Linked DNA regions of Anolis sagrei. The protein of the gene in region 1 purifies or fractionates together with the protein of each later gene. This does not show direct contact. Links are inferred from orthologs where the notes say so. Each region holds a gene or a part of one and is shown in the gene's direction. Other genes may lie near its edges. The genes, in order: CUL1, ARIH1, FBXO33 and CRY1.

Region 1 (7,543 bases):
TGAAAGGGATCCCTAAAGAAGGACAATGATATGTTTTATGTTCCAAAGTAGGCAAACCAGACAATCACTACATTAACACTGACAAAGAAACAACAAGAAATACTGTTTACCCACAAGCATCAAGAAATTACATAAGAAACCAACTTTCTCATTACTTTCTTTTCAAGATGACCAGACTGGATCATAGCAACGCGTGGCAGGGGATGGCTAGCATATGGCATGGACCAACTTTGGCCCTCCATGTGTTTTGGACTTCAACTCCCACAATTCCAAACAACCAGTAGGAAGTCCAAAATACCTGGAGGGCCAAAATTTGTCTATGCCAATATATATCTATATATCTCTATATCTCTATCTATCTATCTATCTATCTATCTATCTATCTATATCAGTGATTGGTTGGGGGGGGGGGCGCCAAAATACTGTTTGCTTACCATTGAAAATTACCTAGGACCGCCTCTGACTCTACCCCTAGAAGGGTATCTTGTAGTTGTGATACTAGCCCTGACCAGGAAATGGTATGTCAATGACAACTGGGAGGTATTTGTCACTCTGTTCACAGATCTGTTTGTTCCAAGCAGAAAATAGCATCAAATTGTTTAGAGCATGAAAACACTCAGAATTGGGATAAACCTATGTTAGTCATAGATAGCATGAACTCCTGAGTTGCTCCTGAGATACTGGCATTGAGTGGTATGTTAAAGTGACCCAGAAGCAAAACAATTTCAACAACACCTCTGAGACCAGTTCCATAAACTCAGCCAGAGAGACTTACTTCTGGGCAATTGTGCAGAAAAGAGTTCATGCATGACAACTTGGAAGTAAACTTCACTGTGTTTCACAAGGCATGGTGTTCATTTTATTCAGTGTAGCTGACTCTCAGAAAAGAGTGCATACACCTCACTGTTGCAGTCCTAACCATATCTGGAGCCCCAGGTCTCAGCGGTGACCAGGGGAGCATTTGCACAGCTCAGGCTCGTGCGCCAGCTGCGCCCGTACCTCGGGAAGTCTGACTTGGCCATGGTAGTACACACTCTGGTCACATCCCGCCTTGACTACTGCAACACTCTCTACGTGGGGCTGCCCTTGAAGACGGCCCGGAAGCTCCAGCTGGTCCAGCGCGCGGCAGGCATGTTACTAACAGGAGCGAGACGCAGGGAGCATACAACGCCCTTGTTGTACCAGCTCCACTGGCTGCCAATCTGCTACCGGGCCCCATTCATGGTGCTGGTGTTGGCCTACAGAGCCCTAAACGGTTTCGGCCCAAAATACCTGTCTGACCGCATCTCGGCCTATGAGTCCACGAGGACTTTGAGATTGTCCGGGGAGGCCCTTCTCTCGATCCCGCCTGCCTCACAGGCACGCCTGGCGGGGACGAGAGACAGGGCCTTCTCGGTGGTGGCCCCTCGGCTGTGGAACACCCTTCCTGTGGACATCAGACTGGCACCCTCCCTTATGACATTCCGCAAGAGACTAAAGACGTGGTTGTTCGAGAAGGCGTTTGAATAAGTGCTGCAATAACTGGCAATGACGATAGGAACGGAACACGGAAAACGATATTTGGATTGTGGTTCAACGATGAGACGCCGCGAATGACTTGTTGTAATTGTATTATTGATATTGATGTTGTTGTTTGATGATGTTTTTGATATTGCTAGTTGATGTTAGCCTATGTTGTAAATCGCACCTTATTTTACATGTTGTACACCGCCGTGAGTCGCCCCAGGGCTGAGAACAGCGGTCTATAAGCACAGTAAATAAATAAATAAATATCTGCCCAGAAATAAACTGCGTCCTATCTACAACTCCAAGCATCCCCCAACCATGCTGATTAGCCATGCTGACTGGGGAATTCTACATGTTGTAGTCCTTTTTCAAACTGATTGCATCCAGTCATATGAGAATGCTCTCGACTAATCATGATTAGCCTATAAATACTATTTGTGATCTTATGGATAGTGAACCAAACATAGGACTTGCTTTCAAAAGTGTTTGAATTTTCTTGAATGACTGAAAGTATTCCCCCAGAAATCAAGAGTGAGTAGGTTTCTTGGTATCCATCTTCTTTGAACTAATCTGGGAAAGATAGACCACTTCAACATATTCATTAAATACTGCTGAGCTACCCACTTAAGAAACAGCACATGACGTAGGCTTCAAGTGGAGAGATATCTTGGCGTTTAAAAGGGGTTGCAAAGCATTATCATTTCTGATGCTTTCTAAGCTGGATAGAGATGGGCAAAATGGCTCATTCTGTCATGTGATGATATTTGTCTTTCTCAGCTTTAAAATTTTTATTTCGTGTCAGGGCAGCCAGTCAATTATATTACATTTCTAACAGAACAAAGCAAACAAACAGACATAATACAAAATTTGTGAGTTTGGTAGTTAATTAAATGTCCTTTGACCAGTAGCTGGCCACTTGGAGTGCTTCTGGTGTTGCTGCAAGGAGGTCCTCCATTGTGCATGTGGCAGGGCTCAGGTTGTATTGCAGCAGGTGGTCAGTGGTTTGCTCCTCTCCACATTCGCTTGTGGAGGATTCCACTTTGTAGCCCCATGTCTGAAGGTTGGCTCTGCATCTCGTGGTGCCAGAGCGCAGTCTGTTCAGCGCCTTCCAAGTTGCCCAGTCCTCTGTGTTCCCAGGGTGGAGTCTCTCATTTGTATCAGCCATTGGTTGAGGTTCTGGGTTTGAGCCTGCCACTTTTGGACTCTCGCTTGCTGAGGTGTTCCAGCGAGTGTCTCTGTAGATCTTAGAAAACTATGTCTAGATTTAAGTCGTTTACGTGCTGGCTGATACCCAAACAGGGGATGAGCTGGAGATGTCTCTGCCTTGGTCCTTTCACTATTGGCTGCTATTTCCCAGCGGATGTCAGGTGGTGCAATACCAGCTAAGCAGTGTAATTTCTCCAGTGGTGTAGGGTGCAGACACCCCGTGATAATGCAGCATGTCTCATTCAGAGCCACATCCACTGTTTTAGTGTGGTGAGATGTGTTCCACACTGGGCATGCATACTCAGCAGCAGAGTAGCACAGCGCAAGGGCAGATGTCTTCACTGTATCTGGTTGTGATCCCCAGGTTGTGCCAGTCAGCTTTTGTATGATATTGTTTCCAGCACCCACTTTTTGCTTGATGTTCAAGCAATGCTTCTTGTAGGTAAGAGCACAGTCCAGAGTGACTCCCAGGTATTTGGGTGCGTTGCAATGCTCCAGTGGGATTCCTTCCCAGGTGATCCTCAGAGCACCAAGTCCTTGAAGCACTTTAGTAGAACCAGATCACTGCACACTGTACACTGTCCTTACTTTATAATCCTACATTCCTCCTGCCACATCAGCATTTTTAACCATGTACCCCTACCCTGGCCGGCCCAGTTTTAAATTGTGTCCCGTTGTATTGTTACTGTTATTGTTTTCTTGCTTAACTGTTTTAATTTGCTTTATGTATTGTATCATTTTATTGTATTTTTGGGGCTTCGGCCTGTGTAAGCCCCATCAAATCCCTTAGGAGATGCTAGCGGGGTACAAATAAAGTTAATAATAATAATAATAAATAATAATAATCTTCAGAGCTTGGGGTGCTTCTCTGTTCTTGAGATGAAAGGCACATGTCTGTGTTTTAGATGGATTAGGGATCAGCTGGTTTTCCCTGTAGTAGGCAGTAAGGGCACCTAGAGCTTCAGAAAGCTTCTGTTCTACCATCTCAAAGCTCCCTGCTTGAGCAGTGATGGCACGATCATCAGCATAGATGAAACTCTCTGTCCCTTCTGGCAGTGGCTGGTCATTTGTGTAGATGTTGAACATGGATGGAGCAAGCACGCTCCCCTGAGGCAGGCTGTTCTTCTGTTTCCGCCATCTGCTTCTCTGGCCCTGGAACTCAACAAAGAAGCTCCTGTTTTGTAGCAGGTTTCCTATGAGGCGGGTGAGGTGGTAGTCCTTTGTGATATTATACATTTTTCTCAGGAGGAGGCGGTGGTTCACAGTATCATAGGCTGCTGACAGGTCTATGAAGACAGCTCCTGTGATCTGCTGCTTTTCAAAGCCATCTTCTATGTGCTGAGTCAGGTTGAGCACTTGCGATGTGCAGCTTTTGCCTTTTCTGAAGCCAGTTTGCTGTGGGATCAGACAGGGGTCTATTTTTTCCTGAGCTCTGCCACATGCACAATGGAGGACCTTCTTGCAGCAACACCAGAAGCACTCCAAGTGGCCAGATACTGATCAAAGGACATTTAATCAACTACCAAGCTTGCAGATTTTGTATTTTTGTTTGTTTGCTTTGTAATATATTACATTATAAAATGTAATATAATTGACTGGTTGACCTGACACGACAAATAAATTTCTCCACAATGGGCCACAGCAACGCCTGGCCGGGTACAGCTAGTAAATACACAAATATACAGCAGAGCCTGGGCTTGCAGTGACTGGGAGGAGGAGGAGGAGCCAAGCTTATTGCGCGCGCACCTCTCTCTCTCTCTCTCTCCCCCCCCCCCCCCCTCTCCAATGTTGTTTGCTCCCAGCGAAGGCGACCGGAAGCCGCGCCAAGGCGGCGAGGGAGTGAGTGACGCGGCGGATCCGGAAGGGGCGGGCTTCCCCGTGTGGATGGCCGAGGCTGCCGCGGCCTCCCTGGATGACTTGAGTCTGCGGGACGTTGCGTGAGTAGCCTTTCGCCTTCTCCGCCTGGGAAAACGAGGCCCGGCCTGAGGGAAAAGGGCAAAGAGGCTGCTCTCCAATACGGGGAGCGAGGGACGGGCGACGCGGGAGGCAGGCCTGGGCCCGGGCTGTGGCGCAGCGAGGCCAAACCGGGTCAAGCGGGGCTGTGCGGGGAGAGGAAGGCGGAAGGCCGCCGGGAAAACGCCAGGAAAAGCGGGAGAGGGAGGGATTTGGTCGACGCCTCGCCGCTTGACCAGGCCGGGCTTCCCCAGTAGGCCCTCCCTCGCGCAGGCCGGCTTCAAGGCGAGCCGGACTTCCTTCTCTCTGCCTTTGCCCGCCCTGCCCTTTGGCTGAGGCCTTGCTTAGAACCAGCCTCCCTTCGCCACCCTCTTCCACCTTGGCTTTGTTTACGGGATATTTTATTTCACCTTGCTTCTCCACCGTGATGGGCCTCTAATGGCACACACGTTGTGAACATAGCCCTCCTCCCATGTTCTTGACCTGAGAAGTGTTCTGTGTCAGTGTGGCCTGTGTTGCCATCCCGCCCTATATCCCAGAATATCAAGGCAGGAAATCCCCCAGTATCTTCTTTGAACTGGGGTATATGGCAGTGTTGATTCACATTACCCAGGACCCATCCATCCAGTCGCATAACCCAGAATATCAAGGCAGGAAATCCCCCAATATCTTCTTTGAAAAGGGTTATATGGCAGTGTGGATTCAGATAGCCCAGGGGACCCTTCCACACAGCCATATAACCCAAAATATCAAGGCAGAAAATCCCCAAATATCTGCTTTAAACTTGGTTATATGGCAGTGTGGACTCACATAACCCAGGGCCCATCCAGCCAGCCATATAACCCAAAATATCAAAGCAGAAAATTCCCCAATATCTGCTTTAAACTGGGTTATGTGGCAGTGTGGACTTAGATAACCCAGGATCCTGGGGACCCTTCCACAAAGCCATATAAACCAAAATACCAAGGCTGAAAATCCCCCAGTATCTGCTTTGGACTGGCAGTGTTGATTCGCATAACCCAGGGCCCAGCCAGCCAGCCGTATAACCCAGAATATCAAGGCAGGAAATCCCCCAGTATCTTCTTTGAACTGGGTTATATGGCAGTGTGGATTCAGATAGCCCAGGGGACACTTCCACATAGCCATATAACCCAAAATATCAAGGCAGAAAATCCCCCAATATCTTTTTTGAACTGGGTTATGTGGCAATGTGGATTCAGATAGCCCAGGGCACCCTTCCACACAGCCATATAACCCAAAACATGCAGGCAGGAAATCCCCCAATATCTTCTTTGAACTGGGTTGTATGACAGTGTGGATTCAGATCGCCCAGGGGACCCTTCCACACAGCCATATAACCAAAAATATCAAGGCAGGAAATCTCCCAATATTTGCTTTGAACTGGGTTATATGGCAGTGTGGACTCACATAACCCAGGGCCTATCCAACCATCCGTATAACCCAGAATATCAAGGCTGAAAATCCCCCAATATCTGCTTTAAACTGGGTTATATGGCAGTGTTGACTCACATAACCCAGGGCCCATCCAGCCAGCCGTATAACCCAGAATATCAAGGCAGAAAATCCCCAAATATCTGCTTTGAACTGGGTTATATGGCAGTGTTGATTCACATAACCCAGGGCCCATCTACCCAGCTGTATAACCCAAAATATCAAAGCAGAAAATCTCCCAACATCTGCTTTGAACTGGGTTATATGGCAGTGTGGATTTAGATAACCCAGGGCCCTGGGGACCCTTCCACACAGCCATATAACCGAAAATATCAAGGTTGAAAATTCCCCAATATCTGCTTTGAACTGGGTTATATGGCACTGTTGACTCACATAACCCAGGGCCCATCCAACCAGCCGTATAACCCAAAATATCAAAGGAGAAAATCCCTCAATATCTGCTTTAAACTGGGTTATGTGGTAGTGTGAACTTAGATAACCCAGGGCCCATCCATCCAGCCATATAACCCAAAATATCAAGATTGAAAATCCCCCAATATCTGCTTTGAACTGGGTTATGTGGCAGTGTGGACTTAGATGACCCAGGACCCTGGGGACCCTTCCACACAGCCATATAACCCAAAATACCAAAGCAAAAATCCCCCAATATCTGCTTTAAACTGGGTTATATGGCAGTGTGGACTCGCATAACCCAGGGCCCATCCATCCAGCCATATAACCCAAAATATCAAGATTGAAAATCCCCCAATATCTGCTTTGAACTGGGTTATATGGCAGTGTGTACTCAGATAACCCAGGGCCCATCCATCCAGCCATATAACCCAAAATACCAAAGCAAAAATCTCCCAATATCTGCTTTAAACTCGGTTATGTGGCAGTGTGGACTTAGATAACCCAGGACCCCGGGGACCCTTACACACAGCCATATAACCCAGAATATCAAGGATGAAAATCCCCCAATATCTGCTTTAAATTAGGTTATATGGCAGTGTGGACTCACATAACACAGGGCCCATCTACCCAGCCGTATAACCCAGAATATCAAGGCTGAAAATCCCCCAATATCTGCTTTGAACTGGGGTATATGGCAGTGTGGACTCACATAACCCAGGGCCCATCTACCCAGCCGTATAACCCAGAATATCAAAGGAGAAAATCCCCCAATATCTGCTTTAAACTGGGTTATGTGGCAGTGTGGACTCACATAACCCAGGACCCTTCCATACAGCCATATAACCCAGAATATCAAAGCAGATAATGTGGGGTTTTATACATCTGTCTGGAAGAGGCCTGGGTTCTCCACTGGTATGACCTCAAGGAAATTGATCCTATAACTGTGGCCCCTTCTACACTGCCATATAACATCCATATTGTCTGCTTTGAACTGGATTCCGTGGGCGCTTCC
Region 2 (7,058 bases), on another chromosome or scaffold:
AGCAAAAGACTGCAATCAATATTTTGTAAATTGACATTTTGCTACAATTTCCCATATGTATGTGAACTTTTGGGACTCACATACTATGTGTGTGTGTGAGCATATATATATATACATATATATATATAGAGAGAGAGAAAGCATCAAATAAATAATTGCAACACTCACAAAAATAGAAATATATATATATAGTTTTTCATACATATAGCTTTATATAAATATAAATATGCAATATATTATACATAAACACACATATATACTATACACAACACACACACATATACACATACACAACATATATAGTGCACTGCATATTTATGTCTATATATGTCTCTATATAGACATATATATGAAAAATAATGTGTTTGTGTGTATATATGAGGTGTGTGTTATATACAACATATATATGCATAGATTATGTGTATATATATATATGTATGGTATACTGCATATTTATATTTATATATAGACATATATGAATAACTATGTTTGGTGTTGTGTATGCATATATATATATATGTTGTGTGCATATATAGGTATGTATAGTATACTGTATATTTATATATAGACATAGATATAAATATAAATGTCTATATATAGACATATATATTAAAAACGATGTGTTGTGTGTTTATGTGTGGTATAGGTATGTATATATACACAAAACATATACATACATATACACATAACACAAATATCGTGCTTCTATATATATATAGAATACTGCACTTATATAGACATATATATGAAAAGCTATGTGTTGTGTGTATATGCATATATGTTGACTGTTTATATAGTTATGTATAGTATTTTGCATATTTATATATGTGTATATATGTGATATATGTGTTGTGTATATGTTGTGTGCTCAAGTATATATATCTATATACACAAACATATATACGCACATGAGAAACTAGGCCAACCCGAATTGCCTTCGGGCTGAGAGAGGCGGTATATTATATAGTTTTTCATATATGTCTATATATAAATATAAATATGCAGTATACCATATGTTGTTGTTCATTCGTTCAGTCGTCTCCGACTCTTCGTGATCTCATGGACCAGCCCACGCCAGAGCTCCCTGTTGGCCGTCACCACCCCCAGCTCCTTCAAGGTCAGTCCAGTCACTTCAAGGATGCCATCCATCCATCTTGCCCTTGGTGGGCCCCTCTTCCTTTTGCCTTCCACTTTCCCCAGCATCATTGTCTTCTCCAGGCTTTGCTGTCTCCTCATGATGTGGCCAAAGTACTTCAACTTTGTCTCTAGTATCCTTCCCTCCAGTGAGCAGTCGGGCTTTATTTCCTGGAGGATGGACTGGTTGGATCTTCTCGCAGTCCAAGGCACTCTCAGCACTTTCCTCCAACACCACAGCTCAAAAGCATCGATCTTCCTTCGCTCAGCCTTCCCTAAGGTCCAGCTCTCACATCCGTAGGTGACTACAGGGAATACCATGGCTTTGACTAGGCGGATCTTTGTTGCCAGTCTGATGTCTCTACTCTTTACTATGTTATCGAGACTGGACATTGCTCTCCTCCCAAGAAGTAAGCGTCTTCTGATTTCCTGGCCACAGTCTGCATCTGCAGTAATCTTTGCGCCTAGAAATGGAAAGTCTGTCACGGCCTCCACATTTTCTCCCTCTATTTTCCAGTTGTCAATCATTCTTGTTGCCATAATCTTGGTTTTTTTGATGTTTAGCTGCAACCCGGCTTTTGCGCTTTCTTCTTTCACCTCGATTAGAAGGCTCCTCAACTCCTCCTCGCTTTCGGCCATCAGAGTGGTGTCATCTGCATATCTGAGGTTGTTAATGTTTCTTCCAGCAATTTTCACCCCAGCCTTGCATTCATCAAGCCCCGCACATCGCATGATGTGTTCTGCATACAAGTTAAAAAGGTTGGGTGAGAGGATGCAGCCTTGCCGTACGCCTTTCCCAATCTTGAACCAGTCTGTTGTTCTGTGGTCAGTTCTGACTGTTGCTACTTGGTCCTTGTACAGATTCCTCAGGAGAGAGACAAGGTGGCTTGGGATGCCCATCCCACTAAGAACTTGCCACAATTTATTATGATCCACACAGTCAAAGGCTTTAGAATAGTCAATGAAGCAGAAGTAGATGTTTTTCTGAAACTCCCTGCCTTTCCCCATTATCCAGCGGATATTGGCAATCTGGTCTCTCGTTCCTCTGCCTTTTCTAAACCCAGCTTGAACATCTGGCAACTCTCGCTCCATGTATTGCTGGAGTCTTCCTTGCAGGATCTTGAGCATTACCTTACTGGCATGAGAGATCAGGGCCACTGTACGGAAGTTTGAGCAGTCTTTCGCATTTCCCTTTTTTTGGTATGGGGATATAAGTTGATTTTTTCCAGTCTGATGGCCATTCTTGTGTTTTCCATATTTGCCGGCATATGGCATGCATCACCTTGACAGCATCATCTTTTAAGATTTTAAACAGTTCAGCTGGGATCCCGTCGTCTCCTGCTGCCTTGTTGTTAGCAATGCTTCTTAAGGCCCTTTCAACCTCACTCCTCAGGATGTCTGGTTCTAATTCATTCACCACACCGTCAAAGCTATCCTCGATATTGTTATCCTTCCTATACAGATCTTCTGTATAGTCTCGCCACCTTCTCTTGATCTCTTCAGCTTCTGTTAGGTCCCTGCCATCTTTGTTTCTTATCATACCAATTTTTGCCTAAAATTTACCTCCAATGTTTCTAATTTTCTGGAAAAGAAATTGTCCTTCCTATTCTGTTGTCTTCTTCCACTTCCATGCATTGCTTATTTAAAAATAGTTCCTTATCTCTTCTGGCTAACCTCTGGAATTGCGCATTTAACTGGGCATATCTTCCCTTATCCCTGTTTCCTTTTGCTTTCCTCCTTTCTTGGGCTACTTCCAGTGTCTCAGCAGACAACCATTTTGCCTTCTTTGTTTTCTTTTTCTTTGGGACGTACTTTGTTGCCGCCTCCTGAACAATGTCTCGGACTTCTGTCCATAGTTCTTCTGGGACTCTGTTTACTAAATCTAGTCCTTCAAATCTGTTCTTCACTTCCACTGTATATTCGCTAAGAATGTTAGTAAGATCATATCTAACTGGTCTGTGTATTTTCCCTGATCTCTTTAGTTTTGTTCTAAATTGAGCAATAAGAAGTTCGTGATCTGAGCTACAGTCAGCCCCAGGTCTTGTTTTCACCGACTGGATGGATGTCCGCCACAGTGATCCAAATATACGCCCCAACCACAGCTGCTGAAGAAGCAGAAGTAGATCAGTTCTATGAGGATCTGCAGGACCTACTGGATAATACACCAAAAAGAGACATTACTTTCATTACAGGAGACTGGAATGCCAAGGTGGGAAGTCAAATGACAACAGGGATCACAGGCAAGCATGGTCTGGGAGAACAAAATGAAGCGGGACGCAGGCTGATAGAATTTTGCCAGGAAAACTCGCTGTGTATAACGAATACTCTCTTCCAACAACCTAAAAGACGGCTTTACACCTGGACTTCACCAGACGGTCAACACCGAAATCAGATTGACTACATCCTTTGCAGCCAAAGGTGGCGGACATCCATCTATATACATACAATAAGTATTATATAATATATTATATATATTATATATATGTTATTATATAATATAAAATAATATTATATATAAGTAATAAATATTGTATATACATACAATATATATGTATACACACACACACACACATATATGTATATGCATACAATATATATCTATATACATACAATAAGCCAACTCGGCTGGCCCTTCCCCCATGCCAATTTATAAATGTCATCCCCTTTCGCTGTGCCACACCCAAGATGGTGGGCCGCAGCCACTCCCTTCCTGAGAGTCGGTTGAAGAAGGCGCGCCCTCCGGCTCCACAAGATGGCGGCGGCAAGGCAGGCTGGTGGTTCCCTTTCGTGCCACACTCAAGATGGCTGCCGACGGACTGCGCTTGAGGAGGCGAAAGGGGGCGGGGCGTGTTGCGTTCCCTTCCCGCCCTTCGGCGCGGCGGCGGCGTCGTGACGCCACACGCGGCGTGGGGTTGCGTCCCCGTCCGCGCTGACGTGCGTGCGTGGAGGTGACGGAGCGGGCCGGACGCGTCCCTTTGTTGGCTCAGCGGCGCCTGGCAGAGGAGGAGGCGGCTTTGGGGAATCGCTCCGCCGAAGGAAGGCAGGCAGGCAGGCAGGCAGGAAGGAAGGCGGGCTAGGCCGCAGCCCTCCCTCGCGTCCCTCCCTCCCATCCTCCCGTCAGTCCCTCAGCCGGGGCCTGCCCGGCGCCTTCGCTCCTCCTCCTCGGCCTAGGCCTCAGCGGCCTCCTCCTCCTCCCCTTTCTCGCCGCCACCATGGACTCGGACGAGGGCTACAACTACGAGTTCGACGAGGACGAGGAGTGCAGCGAGGACAGCGGCGCTGAGGAGGACGACGACGACGACGACCCCGACGACGACCCCGACGACGGCAACCTGGACCTGGGCGAGGTGGAGCTGGTCGAGCCCGGCGTGGGCGGAGAGAGGGACGGCCTACTCGGCGGAGAGACCGGCGGGGGAGGCCTCGGGCCCGGAGGAGGGGGAGGCGGCGGCGGAGGAGGAGGAGGCCTCGGGGGAAGCAGCGGCCTGGGCGGGCCCGGCTCCGGAGGGGGACTAGGCCACGACCAGGAGGAGGACTACCGCTACGAGGTGCTCACGGCCGAGCAGATCCTGCAGCACATGGTGGAGTGCATCCGGGAGGTCAACGAGGTCATCCAGGTGCGCGCGCAGGGGCGGGCGGCGGGGGCGCGCTCCCTCGGCGGGAAGGAAGGAGGGATGGAGGGGTGGAAGGAAGGAGGGAGGCCTCCTCCTCCTCCAGGCATGCCTTTCTTCTCCCTCCAACCCTCCCTCCCTTGCTTTCTCTTCACCTTTTCCTGCATCTCTTTCCTATCCTTCTAATTCTTTCCATCCAACTCTTGAATCAGACTGATAGGAATTGTGGGAGTTGTGGTCCAAAACACTTGGTTCCTCCCCCTCCAGGCATGCCTTTCTTCTCCCTTGCTTTCTCAACTCTCCTCTTTCTGCATTCTTTTCCTATCCTTCTAATTCTTTATATCCAACTCTTGAACCAGATTGATAGGAATTGTGGGAGTTGTGACGCTCAACAATTCTTTATTGATTAGTCAATTTTGACCATATCAAAACATACAGAGAATTGTGGGAGTTGTAGTGCAAAACACATGGTACCTTCTCCTCCTGGCACACCTTTCTTCTCCCTCCCTTGCTTTCTCAACTCCCTTCTTTTCTCCTTTTCCTGCATCTCTTTCCTATCCTTCTAATTCTTTATATCCAACTCTTGAACCAGACTGATAGGAATTGTGGGAGTTGTAGTCCAAAACACTTTGTTCCTCCTCCTCCAGGCATTCCTTTCTTCTTCCTCAAACCCTCCCTTGGTTTCTCTACTCTCCTCCTTTTCCTGCATCTCTTTCCTATCCTTCTAATTCTTTATATCCAACTCTTGAACCAGACTGATAGGAATTGTGGGAGTTGTGACACTCAACAATTCTTTATTGATTAGTCAATTTTGACCATATCAAAACATACAGAGAGTTGTGGGAGTTGTAGTCCAAAACACTTGGTACCTCCTCCTGGCACACCTTTCTTCTCCCTCCCATCTTCCCTCACTTTCTCTACTCTCCTCTTTTCTCCTCCTCTTTCTTCATCTCTTTCCTATCCTTCTAATTCTTTATATCCAACTCTTGAACCAGATTGATAGGGTTTGTGGGAGTTGTAGTCCAAAACACTTGGTACCTCCGCCTCCTCCAGGCATGCCTTTCTTCTCCCTCCCACCCTCCCTTGCTTTCTCTACTCTCCGCTTTTCTCGACCTCTTTCTGTATCTCTTTCCTATCCTTCTAGTTCTTTATATCCAACTCTTGAACCAGTCTGATTAGAATTGTGGGAGTTGTAGTCCAAAACACATTTTTTAATTATTATTATTAACTTTATTTGTACCCCGCTAGCATCTCCCGAAGGACTTGATGCGGCTTACAAAGGCCAAGGCCTCAAAACACAACATAACAATACACAACCTAAAGCAAATTAAAAACAGTAAAGCAATATTCAACAACAAGCAATAAGACAATACACCAAGACACAATAAAACTGGGCCAGGCCAGAGTATTGGGTACAGATCAAAAGTGCTGATGTGACAGGTGATATGTAAGGATAATGGGGTAAGTGCAGTGTGCCAGCAATCTTAATTTCTAATAAAGTGCTTCTGGGACTTGTTGGAGGATTGCTATTCTGGAAAGGCACATCGGAACAGCCAGGTCTTCAAGTTCTTTCTAAAGACTGCCAACGTAGGGACCTGTCTAAGATCTTTGGGGAGGGTGTTCCAGAGTTGGGGGGCCACCACGGAAAAGGCCCTGTCTCGCATCCCCACCAGACGCGCCTGCAATGCAGGCGGAATTGCGAGCAGGGCCTCACCAGATGAATGAAGTGAGCGCGTGGGTTCATACACTGAGATGCGGTCACACAGGTAGGATGGTCCCAAACCGTTTAGGGCTTTGTAGGTAAGCACCTGCACCTTAGATTGGGCTCGGAAAATAAACAGCAGCCAGTGGAGCTCCTTGAACAGGAGGGTTGACATGGTACCTCCTCCTCCAGGCACACCTTTCTTCTCCCTCCCATCCTCCCTTGCTTTCTCTACTCTCCTCTTTCCTCCTGTTCTTCCTTCATCTCTTTCCTATAAATCATATAAATCTAATTATTTATATCCCACTCTTAGACCAGACTGATTGGAAATGTGGGAGTTTTAGTCCAAAACACTTGGGTGCCTGTTCGAACCTCTCCCTCACCACCTTCTGTTTCTTTCTCTCCTCCTCTCCTCCTCTTCCTTCATCTCTTTCCTATAAATAATAGAAATCTAATTATTTATATCCCACTCTTAGACCAGACTGATTGGAATTGTGGGAGTTGTAGTCCAAAACACTTGGTGCCTGTTTGAACCTCTCCCTCACCTCCTTCTGTTTCTTTCTCTCCTACTCTCCTCTTTTCTCCTCCTGTTCCCGCATCTCTTTGCTTTCCTT
Region 3 (7,943 bases), on another chromosome or scaffold:
ACTTCAGGTGGCAGAGTATTTGGTCCATTATTTCCTGTCTCCAACAGTGAAATATATGATGATGATGATGATGATGATGATGATGATATCCAATTCTGCTGAGAGTATTTGGTCTCCTATGTCCTATCTCAAAAAAACCTGTTATTCCCACTTCTGCTGGAAGAGAGTATTTGATCTGCCATCTCCTATCTCCCATGCAGCCATGCTGGCCACATGATCTTGGAGGTGTCTATGGACAATGCCAGCTCTTTGGCTTAAAAATGGAGATGAGCACCACCATGTCCAGAGTCAGACACGACTAGACTTAATATCAAGGGGAAACCTTTACCTTTGCCTTTAGTATTTGGTCCATTATTTCTTGTCTCCAGCAGTAGAAATAAATTATGATGATGGTATCCAGTTCTGCTGAGAATATTTGGTCTCCTATCTCTGAAAACGAAATTGTTATTCCCACTTCTGCTGGAAGAGAGTATTTGATCTGCTATCTCCTGTCTCCCAAAGGGAAATAGTAACAATAATATCTGCTTCTATTTGGTCTGTTATCTCAGGTCTCTAACAGGATAAACTATCATTATAATGTAATTATATTATATAATTATAATATTACTAATAATGTCACAATATAATTGTATAGTACAATATAGTACAATATAATAATATATAATATATAATATTGTATGTATATATATCTTGTAAGCTGCTCTAGTCCCTTTGTAAATAAATAATATCCACTTCTGCTGGAAGAAAGTATTATCTCCTGTCTCAAACAGGGAAAATTATTATTATTATTATTATTAACAATAATAATTCCCTGCTTGTACTGATAGGGAGTATTTGGTCCTCTGTAATACTCAATGTATTGGCGAAGGCTTTCAGACTTACAGCAACCCAATTAATACTCATTTCTGCAGGTACAAATACGAGAGATGCATCGTGCATTGGTGTGCTATTTGCGATGCTTTCTGGCTCCAGAGGCAAGCGTTCCAGCAACCTGGTCCTCCTCGCTCGGGGTGATTTGAGGACTAGGGAAAGTTGCAGCATCCTTGGCCGCCTTCCAGCGTCTGTACTCTTGGGACGAAGCCAAGAAGTCTCCCCCCCCCCCCCGCCTCCGGAGAAGGATGGTACAGTCCTCCGAAGGGCGAGCGCCTCGCCATCAATTAGGTGGCGTCAGCCTCACCGCCCTTCTAGATGCTGAGTCATAAAAGCAGCCCTTCCCGGCTCCCCCTTCGGCCGAGGACGCCTTGGTACATTCCTCCTATACAGTCCTCTTTATTCGAAATGCTGGGGAGCCAGAAGTGTTTGGGATTTCAGACTTTTTCAGAAAAAGGGGGGATTTTTTTTTAATATTTGCATACATATTACGAGTTAGAGATGAGACCCAAGTCTAAAGAAAACATTAATTTGTGTTTCACATAGACATAGTTTGAAGACAATGATATACACCATATTTTAAATATATAATTGTATGCATGAAAACCAGGGGTGCATCTACATTGTAGGATTAAGGCGGTTTGGCTCCACTCCAACTGCCATGGTTCCATCATGGAAATCCTGGAATTTGTAGTTTGATGAGGCCCCAGCTGTATTTAGCAGAGAGGGCTAAAGACCTTGTAAAATTATAACTCCCGGGGTAGCATAGCATTGAGCTATTATTACTATCCAGTCACTGATGATGATGTAGTTGTAAACAACCCTGGATGCTCAATTTGAATCTCGTTAAGAGAGAAAAAGCAGCATATACATGAACTGAATTATAATAATGTGGACAATCCTGGAATCTGGATAAAGGATGCTCATTTTGAGACGTTTTAAGAGAGAAAAAGCAGCATATAAATCAGTATAATAATAATATAGTCAATTGAGAATTCCAGATAAAGGATGCTCATTTTGAGACTCTTTAAGAGAGTAAAAACAGCATATAAATCAGTATAATAATAATAATAATAATAATATAGTCAATTGAGAATTCCAGATTAAGGATGCTCATGTTGAGTCTCTTTAAGAGAAAAAAAACGGCATATAAGTCATAATAATAATAATAATAATAATAAGCTGTGACATACTGTGCTTTTGTGTCAATAATAATAATGTGGACAATCCTGGATTCCAAAGACTCTGGGACAAGCCAGTAAAGGTGGTCCACTGGTGATTGGCAGAACTCTGTGTCCCAAATGATTAACTGGAACTTATGTCACAAGTATCACCTGCCAGCAGTAAAAAATTGGTGGGATCATAAATCTGCAAAGGTAGCGGAAAATGAACACGCAAAAATACTGTGGGACTTTCAAATCCACACGGACAAAGTTTTGGAAAGCAATACACCAGATATCACGATTGTGGAAAAGAAAAAAGTTTGGATTATTAATGTCGCCATACCAGGTGACAGTCACATTGAAAAACAACAGGAAAAACTCAGCCATTATCAAGACCTCAAAATCGAACTGCAAAGGCTCTGGCATAAACCAGTACAGGTGGTCCCAGTGGTCATCGGCACACTGGATGCTGTGCCAAAAGATCTCAGCAGGCATTTGAAAACAATAAACATTGACAAAATCACGATCTGCCACCTTACTTGATCTGTGTACCTCATCCAAAAACACATCACACAGTTCTAGATGCTTGGGAAGTGTTAGACTTATGATCTTGTGATAGGAAATCCAGCATATATCTCTCGTTTGCTGTGACATACTGTGTTTTTGTGTCAATGATAATAATGCAGACAATTCTGGATTGCGGATCGAGGCTCACTTTGAGGGCCCTTCCACATAGCCCTATAACCCAGAATATCAAGGCAGAAAATCTTACAATATCTGCTTTGAACTGGGTTATCTGAGTCCACGCTCATATAATGTGGGGTTTTCTGCCTTGATATTCTGGGATATAGGGCTGTGTGGAAGGGCCCCCAGTCTCATTAAGAGAGAAAAAAGCAGCATATAACTCAATAGAATGATAATATTGACAATCCTGGATTCCAGATAAAGGAGGCTCGCTTTGAGTCTCATTGAGACAGATATCCAGGATAGACTACTGCAATGCGCTCTACGTGGGGTTGCCTTTGAAGACAGTTTGGAAGCTTCCAATAGTCCAATGAGAGGCAGCTAGGTTAATAACTGGGGCGGCATACAGGGAGCACACAACTCCCATGTTACGTCAGCTCCACTGGCTGCCTGTTTGCTACCGGGCACAATTCAAAGTGCTGCCTTTGGCCTATAAAGCCCTAAACGGCCCCGGCCCTGTTTACCGGTCCAAATGCATCTCCCTTTACAAACCACTGCATAAACTAAGATCTTCTGGGGAGTCCCTGCTCTCGGTCCCGCCACTATCACAGCCGGGTTTGGTAGGGACGAGAGACAGTGCCTTCTCAGTGATTGCCCCCCGGTTATGGATCTCCCTTCCTGGCAATATTAGGTTAGCCCCCTCCTCCTGCCCTTCAGAAGGATGGTGAAGACCTGGCCATGGGGCAGTGCAATGAGGCAAAATGGTGTCCTGAGATAGTTTTAAGCAACTTTTAATGTGGATATAAGTTATTTTAATGTTTGTATATATTTATGATTTTATGTCCTGGCATTTAATGTTTGCGTGTACATGTTGTGCTCCGCCCTGAGTCCCCTGCGGGGTGAGAAGAGTGGAATATAAATGTTTTAAATCTATATATATAATAAGAGAATGGTTGTCTGTATGTATGTTTGTGTGCTTTCTGATTAGCTGCCACTTCTGCAAGCCGCCATGACCCCCACGAATGACAGACCTGAACCAAACTTGGCACACATAACCCCCATGACCCCCTTTATGTCCTGGTGAAGTTTGGGGGAGGATGGGCAATGGATGATGGGATTTGTAGTACTTTCAAATGCTTTGGTTCCCACATACCACAGTGGCCCCCAACAACAACAGAACAAGACCAAACTTGGCACACAGACCTCCCATGACCCACTTTAAATCCTGGTGCAGTTTGAGGGAGGATGGACCATGAATGACGGGGCTTGCAGTACTTTAACTCACTTCTTTACAGCACTGTGACCCACACCAATGACAGATCAGAACCAAACTTGGCACACAGAGGCCCAATGGCCCACTTTACAACCTGGGCAGGACAGACCACAGATGATGGTATTTGCAGTACCATCACTCACTTCCTGAGAGTACTGTGAACCTAATCCAATAACCTGGAGCCCCCAGTGGCACAGTGGGTTAAAGCCCTGTGCCAGCAGGACTGAAGACCGACAGGTCGCAGGTTCGAATCTGGGGAGGGGCGGATGAGCTCCCTCTATCAGCTCCAACTCCTCATGTGGGGACATGAGAGAAGCCTTCCACAAGGATGATAAAACATCAAAATCATCCGGGTGTCCCCTGGGCAACGTCCTTGCAGACGGCCAATTCTCTCACAACAGGATACTCCTGACACAACAACAACAAAAAAATCCAATAACCGATAAAGACCAAACTTGACACACATAGCCCCCCACGACCCACTCTACATCCTGGTGTAGTTTGGAGGAGGCCGAACTGTGGATGATGGGACTTGGGAGTACCTTCAATCACTTCCAGAGACCACTGCAACCCTGATCCAATGACCAATACAGACCAAACTTGGCACACAGAGCCCCCATGACCCACTTTCTTAAATAACCCAGGCACTGCTGGGTCCCCAAGCTAGTAAATAAATAAAAGCAGTATATAAATCAGGCATGGGCAAACTTGGGCCCTCGAAGTGTTTTGGACTTCAACTCCCACAATTCCCAACAACCGGTGGGAGTTGAAGTCCAAAAGACTGGAAGGGCCCAAGTTTGTCCAAGCCTGGTATAAATGAATAGACTAATCATACTGCGGAGAATGCTGCCCTGCACTCCTTTTCCCTCCCTCCTGTTTGGCTCCTTCCTCCTTCCCTCTTTCTCTTCCCTCCCTTCCTGTGCGTTGGTGCCTTCCGCTTCCTCCTCCCGCCCCAATGGTACGTCCCTCCCTCCTTCCCTCCCTCCGCCCGTCTCCCCCCGCGGCAGGGCGCGTTGGTTGGCTCGGCCAGGCAGGCATCCGAGCCCGGTCCCTCCTCCTCCTCTCTCCTCCCTCCTCCTCCTCCTCCTCCCTGGGCGCCTTGTCATTGATGTTGTTGTTTTTGTCGCAGGAGCCTGAGGGGAGGCCGGGGCCGGGCTCGGGGCGGCGGCGGCGGCGGCCGGTGGCTCCCCCCGCGGCGGCTCCTCCCGCTCGGGCCACCACCATGATGTCTTCCCCGGTGGGCGCGGGCTCCTTGCCCAGCGAGCTGGTGGTGCACATCTTCTCCTTCCTGGCCGCGCCGGACCGGCTCCGGGCCTCGGCCGCTTGCTCGCACTGGCGCGAGTGCCTCTTCTACCCGGCCTTGTGGCCCCGGCTGCGCCTCAGCCTCCGCGTCTGCCCCGCCGAGCGCCCGCGACTCGACTTCCTCATGCGCAAGTGCGGCTGGTTCGTCAGGGAGCTCCGCGTCCAGTTCGCCGCGGACAACTACCCCACCGGAGGAGGAGGAGCAGGAGGGGGGCCCGAGGAAGGCCTCGAAGCGGATGCCGACTCCGCCGCGGGAGTGGTCCCCGCCTCAGGCCCCGAAGGAGGAGGAGGAGGCGGCGGGGAAGCGCCGCTCTGCCCTCGCTGGCTGGAGCTGCTCCGGACCTACTTGGAGCTCGTACTCTGCGTCTTGAGCAGCGTCCGCAACAACAGGTGAGGCCTCGGTTCACGCGCTTCCACGGCTACGGCATCCCGAGGGCTGTTGTTTTGACTAGGCCCAAGCCTGGGTAAAGTTGAGGCCTGCGGGTGTTTTGGAGTTCAACTCCCACCATGCCGAACAGCCTCAGGCCCCTTCCTTTTCCCCCTCAGCCGCTTAAGCGGCTGAGGGGGAAAAGGAAAGGGCCTGAGGCTGTTCGGCATGGTGGGAGTTGAACTCCAAAACACTTGCATCCCCCAACTTGACCCAGGCCTAGCCTCCTCTATGCAGCTTGGCCCCACTTTTGTAAAACTACAACCCCCATTACAAGTGGTCTGAAGCTGCAACCATTCCACACTGTCATTGCAAACTGTGCTTCTTCCTTCCTCAGAGTGTCTCTCCACTCTGGACCCTGGACCAGCCCGAGCTCTTCGGGGGAGGCCCGTCTTTCGCCCCTAATAATAATATATTTATATTTATCGTGTTATCAGCAACCATACCATTGTATTACATTTCTAACAGAGCAAAACAAACACACAGATTAAAAAAAACCCCCAAAAAACACAGATTTTGCAAACTTGGTAGTTGGGTAAATGTCTTTTGACCAGTATCTGGCCACTTGGAGTGCCTCTGGTGTTGCCGCAAGAAGGTCCTCCATTGTGCATGTGGCAGGGCTCAGGGTGCATTGCAGCAGGTGGTCAGTGGTTTGTTCTTCTCCGCACTCGCATGCCGAGGATTCCACCCTGTAGCCACATTTCTTAAGATTGGCTCTGCATCTCGTGGTGCCAGAGCGCAGTCTGTTCAGCACCTTCCAGGGGGGAGTCTCTCATCTGGTATCACCCATGGATTGAGGTTCTGGGTTTGAGCCTGCCACTTTTGGACTCTCACTTCCTGAGGTGTTCCAGCGAGTGTCTCTGTAGATCTAAGAAAACTATGTCTTGATTTAAGTCGTTGACGTGCTGGCTGATACCCAAACAGGGGATGAGCTGGAGATGTTTCTGCCTTGGTAATAATAATAATAATAATATAATAATAAACAACTTTATTTAATACCCTGCCACCATCTCCCCAATGGGGACTCAAGGTGGCTTACATGAGGCCAAGCCCAACAGCATCTTCTATATAAATAAAAATGTAATGTTCGCTGGGTTGTTGTAGGTTTTTTCGGGCCATGTTCTAAAGGCATTTTTTCTCCTGACGTTTCGCCTGCATCTATGGCAAGCATCCTCACTACCTCTGAGGATGCTTGCCATAGATGCAGGCGAAATGTCAGGTCTAAAGGCATTTTTTTTTCTCCTGACGTTTCGCCTGCATCTATGGCAAGCATCCTCAGAGGTAGTGAGAATGCTTGCCATAGATGCAGGTGAAATGTCAGGTCTAAAGGCGTTTTTTTCTCCTGATGTTTCGCCTGCATCTATGGCAAGCATCCTCACTGCCTCTGAGGATGCTTGCCATAGATGCAGGTGAAATGTCAGGTCTAAAGGCGTTTTTTTCTCCTGATGTTTCGCCTGCATCTATGGCAAGCATCCTCGCTACCTCTGAAGATGCTTTCCATAGATGCAGGCGAAATGTCAGGTCTAAAGGCATTTTTTTCTCCTGACGTTTCGCCTGCATCTATGGCAAGCATCCTCACTGCCTCTGAGGATGCTTGCCATAGATGCAGGTGAAATGTCAGGTCTAAAGGCGTTTTTTTCTCCTGATGTTTCGCCTGCATCTATGGCAAGCATCCTCGCTACCTCTGAAGATGCTTGCCATAGATGCAGGCGAAATGTCAGGTCTAAAGGCATTTTTTTCTCCTGACGTTTCGCCTGCATCTATGCCAAGCATCCTCAGAGGTAGTGAGGATGCTTGCCATAGATGCAGGCAAAATGTCAGGTCTAAAGGCATTTTTTCTCCTGACGTTTCGCCTGCATCTATGCCAAGCATCCTCACTGCCTCTGAGGATGCTTGCCATAAATACAGGCGAAACGTCAGGTCTAAAGGCATTTTTTCTCCTGACCTTTCGCCTGCATCTATGGCAAGCATCCTCACTACCTCTGAGGATGCTTGCCATAGATGCAGGCGAAACGTCAGGTCTAAAGGCATTTTTTTTCTCCTGACGTTTTGCCTGCATCTATGGCAAGCATCCTCACTGCCTCTGAGGATGCCTGCCATAGATGCAGGCGATGTGTCAGGAGAAAAAATGCCTTTTAGAACATGGCCATATAGCCCGAAAAAACCTACAACAACCCAGTGGTTCCAGCCATGAAAGCCTTCAACAATACAATATAATGTTCGT
Region 4 (7,046 bases), on another chromosome or scaffold:
CTATCTATCTATCTATCTATCTAATCTATCTATCTAATCTATCTATCTAATCTATTTAATCTATCTATCTAATCTATCTATCTATCTAATCTATCAGTCAGTCAATCTATCTATCTAATCTATCTATCTAATCTATCTATCTATCTAATCTATCTGTCTTATCTATCTAATCTATCTATCTAATCTATCTATCTAATCTATCTATCTAATCTATCTATCTATCTATAGAACTCAAAAACCACTGGACGAATTGACATCAAATTTGGACACAAGACACCTTACAATCCAATGTATCTCCTTCACTCAAAAAAAAATGATTTTGTTGTTTCTGGGATTTATAGTTCACCTACAATCAAAGAGCATTCTGAACCCCACCAACGATGGAACTGAACCAAACTTGGCATACAGTTCTCCCATGACCAACAGAAAATACTGGAAGGGTTTGGTGGGCAGTGTCCTTTGGTTTTGGAGTTGTAGTTCACCTACATCCAGAGAGCACTGTGGACTCAAACAATGATGGACCTGGACCAAACTCTACACAAATACTCAGTATGCCCAAATGTGAACACTGGTGGAGTTTGGGGGAAATAGAATCTTGACATTTGGGAGTTGTAGTTGCTGGGATTTACAGTTCACCTACAATCAAAGAGCATTCTGAACACCACCAATTGGGCCAAACCTCCCACACAGAACCCCCATGACCACCAGAGTGGGCCACAGCAAGGCATGGCAGGAGACGGCTAGTCTTATATAAATCAACATGTAATGTTTGTTTGTGGGATTAACATAACTCAAAAACCACTGGACGAATTGACACGAAATTTGGACACAAGACACCTAATAGTCCAACGAGTGTCCATGACCCATAAACACACACACACAAAACCCCAGTGGAACAGACTTAAATACCCCCAAATACACCCTATATACATATACACATACACTCATGCACATGCACACATTCATACAAACATAGATATACATATACACATGCACATATACATGCACACATACATATATACATATACACATGCATACACATACATATCCACATACATATATACACACAAATATGCATATAGACAAGCACACACATGTACACAATATGCATGTACACATATACACACACAAATATATATACACACACATATATACACCTGTAACTTTTTCAGGCTTTATTATTATTATTATTATTATTATTAGACAATGCAAATGGCTAAGGAGTTGAACTGGTACACATTAATTATTATAGTTTTAATTGATTTTTATATGGATTTTTATTATGTGATATTAGATGTTTTTAATTGATATGTATGTATGTATGTTTATGGCATCTAATTGTTGCCAATCTGTATGCCGCCCTGAGTTGCCTTTGGGCTGAAAAAATTCTATAAATAAATAAATATTTTGTATTACATTATATTATTATCAATATTAGATGTAAATACAATATATTATAAATAAAGTGTATTATTATCAGCATAGCATAATATTATATATAAATAGTGTATCATTTTTATTATACATAATAGTGTATAAGTAATATAAAGTGTATTATTATTTGCCTATTATACATAATAAAGTGTATAAATAATATAAACTGTATTATTATTAGCATAGCACAATATTATATATAGTGTATCATTTTATTATGCATAATAAAGTGTATAAATAATATATAGTGTATATTATTATTATTATTATTAGCCAATTAGACATAATAAAGTGCATAAGTAATATAAATGTATTATTAGCATAGCACAATATTATATATAAATAGCGTATCATTTTTATTATACATAATAAAGTATATTAGTAATATAAAGTGTATTATTATTATAAGCCTATTATACATAATAAAGTGTATAAATAATATAAAGTGTATTATTATTAGCATAGCATATTATATATAAATAGTGTATCATTTTTATTATACATAATAAAGTGTATAAATAATATAAAGTGTATTATTATTACCCTATTATACATAATAAAGTGTATAAATAATATAAAGTGTATTATTATTAGCATAGCACAATATTATATATATAGTATATCATTTTTATTATACATAATAGTGTATACATAATATAAAGTGTATTATTATTAGCATAGCACAATATTATATATAAATAGTATATCATTTTGTTATGCATAATAAAGTGTATAAATAATATAAAGTGTATTATTATTAACCAATTATACATAATAAAGTGTATAAATAATATAAAGTGTATTATTATTAGCATAGCATAATATTATATATAGTGTATCATGTTTATTATGCATAATAAAGTGTATAACTAATATATAATGCATATTATTATTAGCCAGTTATAAATAATAAAGTGTATAAATAATATAAAATGTATTATTAGCATAGCACAATATTATATATAAATAGTGTATCATTTTTATTATAATAGAAATGATACATAATAAAGTGTATAAATAATATAAAGACTATTTATATATAATATTGTGCTATGCTAATAATAATACATTTTATCATTTATACACTTTATTATGTATAATAGGCAAATAATAATAGTAATGCACTTTATATTACTTATACACTTTATTATGTATAATAAGAATGATACACTATTTATATATAATATTGTGCTATGCTAATAATAATGTTGTTGTTCATTCGTTCAGTCGTCTCCGACTCTTCGTGACCTCATGGACCAGCCCACGCCAGAGCTCCCTGTCGGCCGTCACCACCCCCAGCTCCTTCAAGGTCAGTCCAGTCACTTCAAGGATGCCATCCATCCATCTTGCCCTTGGTCGGCCCCTCTTCGTTTTGCTTTCCACTTTCCCCAGCATAATTGTCTTCTCTAGGCTTTGCTGTCTCCTCATGATGTGGCCAAAGTACTTCAGCTTTGTCTCTAGTATCCTTCCCTCCAGTGAGCAGCCGGGCTTTATTTCCTGGAGGATGGACTGGTTGGATCTTCTCGCAGTCCAAGGCACTCTCAGCACTTTCCTCCAACACCACAGCTCAAAAGCATCGATCTTTAGCAAGATCCGTCATTATGGTCCACACGTGCTAATAATAATAATACACTTTATATTATTTATACACTACATTATGTATAAAGGTAAAGGTAGTCCCCTGACATTAAGTCCAGTCATGTCTGACTCTGGGGTGTGGTGCTCATCTCCATTTCTAAGCCTGAAGAGCCAGCGTTGTCCGTAGACACCTCCAAGGTCATGTGGCCGGCATGACTGCATGGAGCGCCGTTACCTTCCCGCCGGAGCGATACCTATTGATCTACTCACATTTGCATGTTTTCGAACTGCTAGGTTGGCAGAAGCTAGGGCTGACAGCGGAAGCTCACGCCACTCCCCGGAATCGAACCTGTGACCTTTCGATCAACAAGCTCAGCAGCTCAGTGCTTTAACCCACTGCGCCACCGGGGGCCCTCAATAATGTTATACATTATGTATAACAGGCTAATAATACATTGTATATTATTTATACACTTTATTATGTATAATAGGCTAATAATAATACACTTTATATTACTAATATACTTTATTATGTATAATATAATATTGTGCTATGCTAATAATAATACACTTTATATTATTTATACACTTTATGTATAATAAAATGATATACTATATATAATATTGTGCTATGCTAATATTAACAATAGACTTTATATTATTTATACACTTTATTATGTATAATAGGCTAATAATAATAGACTTTATATTATATATTATTTATACACTTTATTATGTATCATTTCTATTATACATAAGTGTATTATTATTATTATTTGCCTATTATACACAATAAAGTGTATAAATAATATAGTGTATTATTATTAGCATAGCACAATATTGGTATTATATATTACTATATTGTATTATACCATCCTGTACGGCAATCTCATTAGTTACATAGATAAGAAGACCTGCATAACCATCCCTCTCCCTCCACGAGGCAGGAAAAACACATTTCAGAAACGTGAGGCGCCCCCGGTCACGTGGTGCGGGGGTGGCCAATCAGGGGCGAGGAAGGGCGGAGCTTGGCGGCTTCCGTCGTTGGGACGAGTTGCCTCGAGTCACAGGGCGGGCGGCAAGGGAGGAAGGAAGTTGGGTTATTTCCCCTTCATTCTTCTTTCCTCTGAGGGGAAAAAAACGGCTATTTAGAGGGAATTAATTAGGAATAGAGAGTGGAAGAGGAGGAGGAGAGGGAGGGGGCGGCAGTTTGGAAACCCAGGAGGGGCGCTGAGGAAGGAAAACAATCCGAGAGGGATGCGTTTCGCCCCCAACACCGTCGCCGCTGCTTCCACCGCCGCGGCCGCTGCTTCCACGGGATCTTAAAGCGGTTTCTCGTCGCTTCTTGGCCCTCTTCTTCTTCTTCTTCCCCGCTCAGCGGCGGCATGAGCTTGGCTTCGACTTGAGCCACGCTCCTCGGCTGTAACCGTTCTCTTCTCCTGCTTGTGCTGCCTCTCGTCAGTGATGGGGGTGAACGCGGTGCACTGGTTCCGCAAGGGGCTCCGTCTCCATGACAACCCGGCCCTGAGGGAGGTCATCCAAGGAGCCGACAGCGTCCGCTGCGTCTACATCCTCGACCCCTGGTTCGCCGGCTCTTCCAACGTCGGCATCAACCGCTGGAGGTGAGTGGCAGCCCTTCCCTCATCTTTTTACTTTATGTAAGCAAGCCCCCCCCCCCCCGCTTCTAAATCTCCCTTTTCTCCCGGGAGTGTGCGCATGCGCGGCGCCGCCTGGTTATACAACGCTGCTGCAGGTACTATGTAACACTCGGAAGTAGCCTGCTGTTTCCCTCGAAATAGTTTGGGTGTCGTCGTTAGGTCGGTGTGGGTAGTGCAGGACGCATTGGACGCAGTTAAGCTGTATTATATTGGGTCTACACCAGGCATGGGTGGACTTCGGCCCTCCAGATGCTTTGGACTTCAACTCCCACCATTCCTAACAGACTCAGGCCCTTTCCTTTCCCCCCTCAGCCACTTAAGCCCATCAGTACAGCAGTATTGTGTATCACAGGCCTTGGCTAGCTTGCGCCTTCCCTCCAGGTGTTTTGGACTTCAACTCCCACCACAGCCTCAGGCCCTTTCCTCTAAAATTACAACAGCAAAACAGCAGAGAGGAAACAACCAGGCACATCTTAACACCTCTCAACAGAACATTTTCCCAGGCACAGCCAGGCCTTCAAATGCTAATGAAGGTGATCAGCTGAAACATTCACACCTAACTGCAGCGGGGAAGAGCTCCTTGCCCCACCCCAGCCATTCCACAGATATATAAACCCATTGTCCTAATTCCAACAGACCTCACTACCTCTGAGGATGCTTGCCATAGATGCAGGCGAAACGTCAGGAGAAATGCCTCTAGAACATGGCTCTATAGCCCGATAAAACCCACAAGAACCTAGACTTTGTATTCCTAGGCGCAAAGATTACTGCAGATGCAGACTGTGGCCAGGAAATCAGAAAACGCTTACTTCTTGGGAGGAGAGCAATGTCCAGTCTCGATAAAATAGTAAAGAGCAGAGACATCAGACTGGCAACAAAGATCCGCCTAGTCAAAGCCATGGTATTCCCTGTAGTAACCTACGGATGTGTGAGCTGGACGTTAGGGAAGGCTGAGCGAAGGAAGATCGATGCTTTTGAGCTGTGGTGTTGGAGGAAAGTTCTGAGCGTGCCTTGGACTGCGAGAAGATCCAACCAGTCCATCCTCCAGGAAATAAAGCCTGACTGCTCACTGGAGGGAAGGATACTAGAGACAAAGTTGAAGTACTTTGGCCACATCATGAGGAGACAGCAAAGCCTAGAGAAGACAACTATGCTGGGGAAAGTGGAAGGCAAAAGGAAGAGGGGCCGACCAAGGGCAAGATGGATGGATGGCATCCTTGAAGTGACTGGACTGACCTTGAAGGAGCTGGGGGTGGTGACGGCCGACAGGGAGCTCTGGCGTGGGCTGGTCCATGAGGTCACGAAGAGTCGGAGACGACTGAACGAATGAAGAACAACAACACACCAGGCATGGGTGGACTTGGGCCCTCCGGGTGTTTTGGACTTCAACTCCCACCATTCCTAACAGCCTCAGTCCCTTTCCTTCCCCCCCTCAGCCACTTAAAGCCCATCAACACAGCAGTATTGTGTATCACAGGCCTTGGCCAGCTTGGGCCTTCCCTCCAGTTGTTTTGGACTTCAACTCCCACCATTCCTAACCCCCTCGGGCCCTTTCTTTTCCCCCTCAGCCACTTAAGCCCATCAACACAGCAGCATTGTGTATCACAGGCCTGGGCCAGCTTGAGCCTTCCCTTCAGGTGTTTTGGACTTCAACTCCCACCATTCCTAACCGCCTTGGGCCTCCCCCCCCCCCCCCTCAGCTGCTTAAGCTGGCCCAGTCCTAGGATCAGACCCGTAGCCAGGATTTCAATTGGGGGGGGGGGTGAGTCTGAGTGAAAGAGGGTCTACCCTAGCAAACCTTTTGTAAAGGTAAAGGTAGTCCCCTGACATTAAGTCCAGTCATGTCTGACTCTGGGGTGTGGTGCTCATCTCCATTTCTAAGCCGAAGAGCCGGCATTGTCCGTACACACCTCCAAGGACATGTGGCCAGCATGATCACATGGAGCACCATTCATCTTGATATCTTAATATATTTTCATGCCGCTGCTCATGTCAAGGAGTGTACAACAACAAAACATAAGCACACCATACAACTGAGCAGGCCTGTAGCGAGGGGCGGGGGGGGGTTAGGGGTTCAAACCCCTCCCGAAATGTTTCAGATTTTTTTAAAAAAAACTGGTTTACTCATGAATTTTAACTGGTTAACCAAATCCCCATGCTAAGTCTATGAGATGCAAAAAATTAAGAGTCCCTCCAGAACTGCAAGCACTATCTCAGGCAAATACTGACAATTTATTCACACTGTCATTACTTGCAGCAATAGCCGATGTAGTGAAGCAACCAAGTTGGGTATGTGTGTGTTGAATGTTCTCATTAAGGAGGCCAGACTTGGTGGAGGTGGTTGACAGGCGCAGAGCTGCAGGCTATGGAAGGCTG

Evidence for each region.
Region 2: the proteins of CUL1 (region 1) and ARIH1 purify together in Homo sapiens (affinity purification with mass spectrometry; 5 studies listed by BioGRID and IntAct, counting the BioPlex papers as one, with this or other methods). This does not show direct contact. The link is inferred for Anolis sagrei from reciprocal best matches to the Homo sapiens genes CUL1 and ARIH1.
Region 3: the proteins of CUL1 (region 1) and FBXO33 purify together in Homo sapiens (affinity purification with mass spectrometry; 4 studies listed by BioGRID and IntAct, with this or other methods). This does not show direct contact. The link is inferred for Anolis sagrei from reciprocal best matches to the Homo sapiens genes CUL1 and FBXO33.
Region 4: the proteins of CUL1 (region 1) and CRY1 purify together in Homo sapiens (affinity purification with mass spectrometry; 4 studies listed by BioGRID and IntAct, counting the BioPlex papers as one, with this or other methods). This does not show direct contact. The link is inferred for Anolis sagrei from reciprocal best matches to the Homo sapiens genes CUL1 and CRY1.

What each region holds. Positions count from the first base shown.
Region 1 is NC_090026.1:63,456,731-63,464,273, reverse strand, and holds the start of CUL1 (cullin-1), read left to right. Parts: upstream 1-4,542; 5' UTR 4,543-4,649; intron 4,650-7,543. UniProt on the Homo sapiens protein: Core component of multiple cullin-RING-based SCF (SKP1-CUL1-F-box protein) E3 ubiquitin-protein ligase complexes, which mediate the ubiquitination of proteins involved in cell cycle progression, signal transduction and transcription.
Region 2 is NC_090029.1:26,571,603-26,578,660, forward strand, and holds the start of ARIH1 (E3 ubiquitin-protein ligase ARIH1), read left to right. Parts: upstream 1-4,048; 5' UTR 4,049-4,346; coding exon 4,347-4,748; intron 4,749-7,058. UniProt on the Homo sapiens protein: E3 ubiquitin-protein ligase, which catalyzes ubiquitination of target proteins together with ubiquitin-conjugating enzyme E2 UBE2L3.
Region 3 is NC_090021.1:303,685,194-303,693,136, reverse strand, and holds the start of FBXO33 (F-box only protein 33), read left to right. Parts: upstream 1-4,942; 5' UTR 4,943-4,945; coding exon 4,946-5,682; intron 5,683-7,943. UniProt on the Homo sapiens protein: Substrate recognition component of a SCF (SKP1-CUL1-F-box protein) E3 ubiquitin-protein ligase complex which mediates the ubiquitination and subsequent proteasomal degradation of target proteins. Probably recognizes and binds to phosphorylated target proteins.
Region 4 is NC_090025.1:169,420,682-169,427,727, reverse strand, and holds the start of CRY1 (cryptochrome-1), read left to right. Parts: upstream 1-4,045; 5' UTR 4,046-4,476; coding exon 4,477-4,634; intron 4,635-7,046.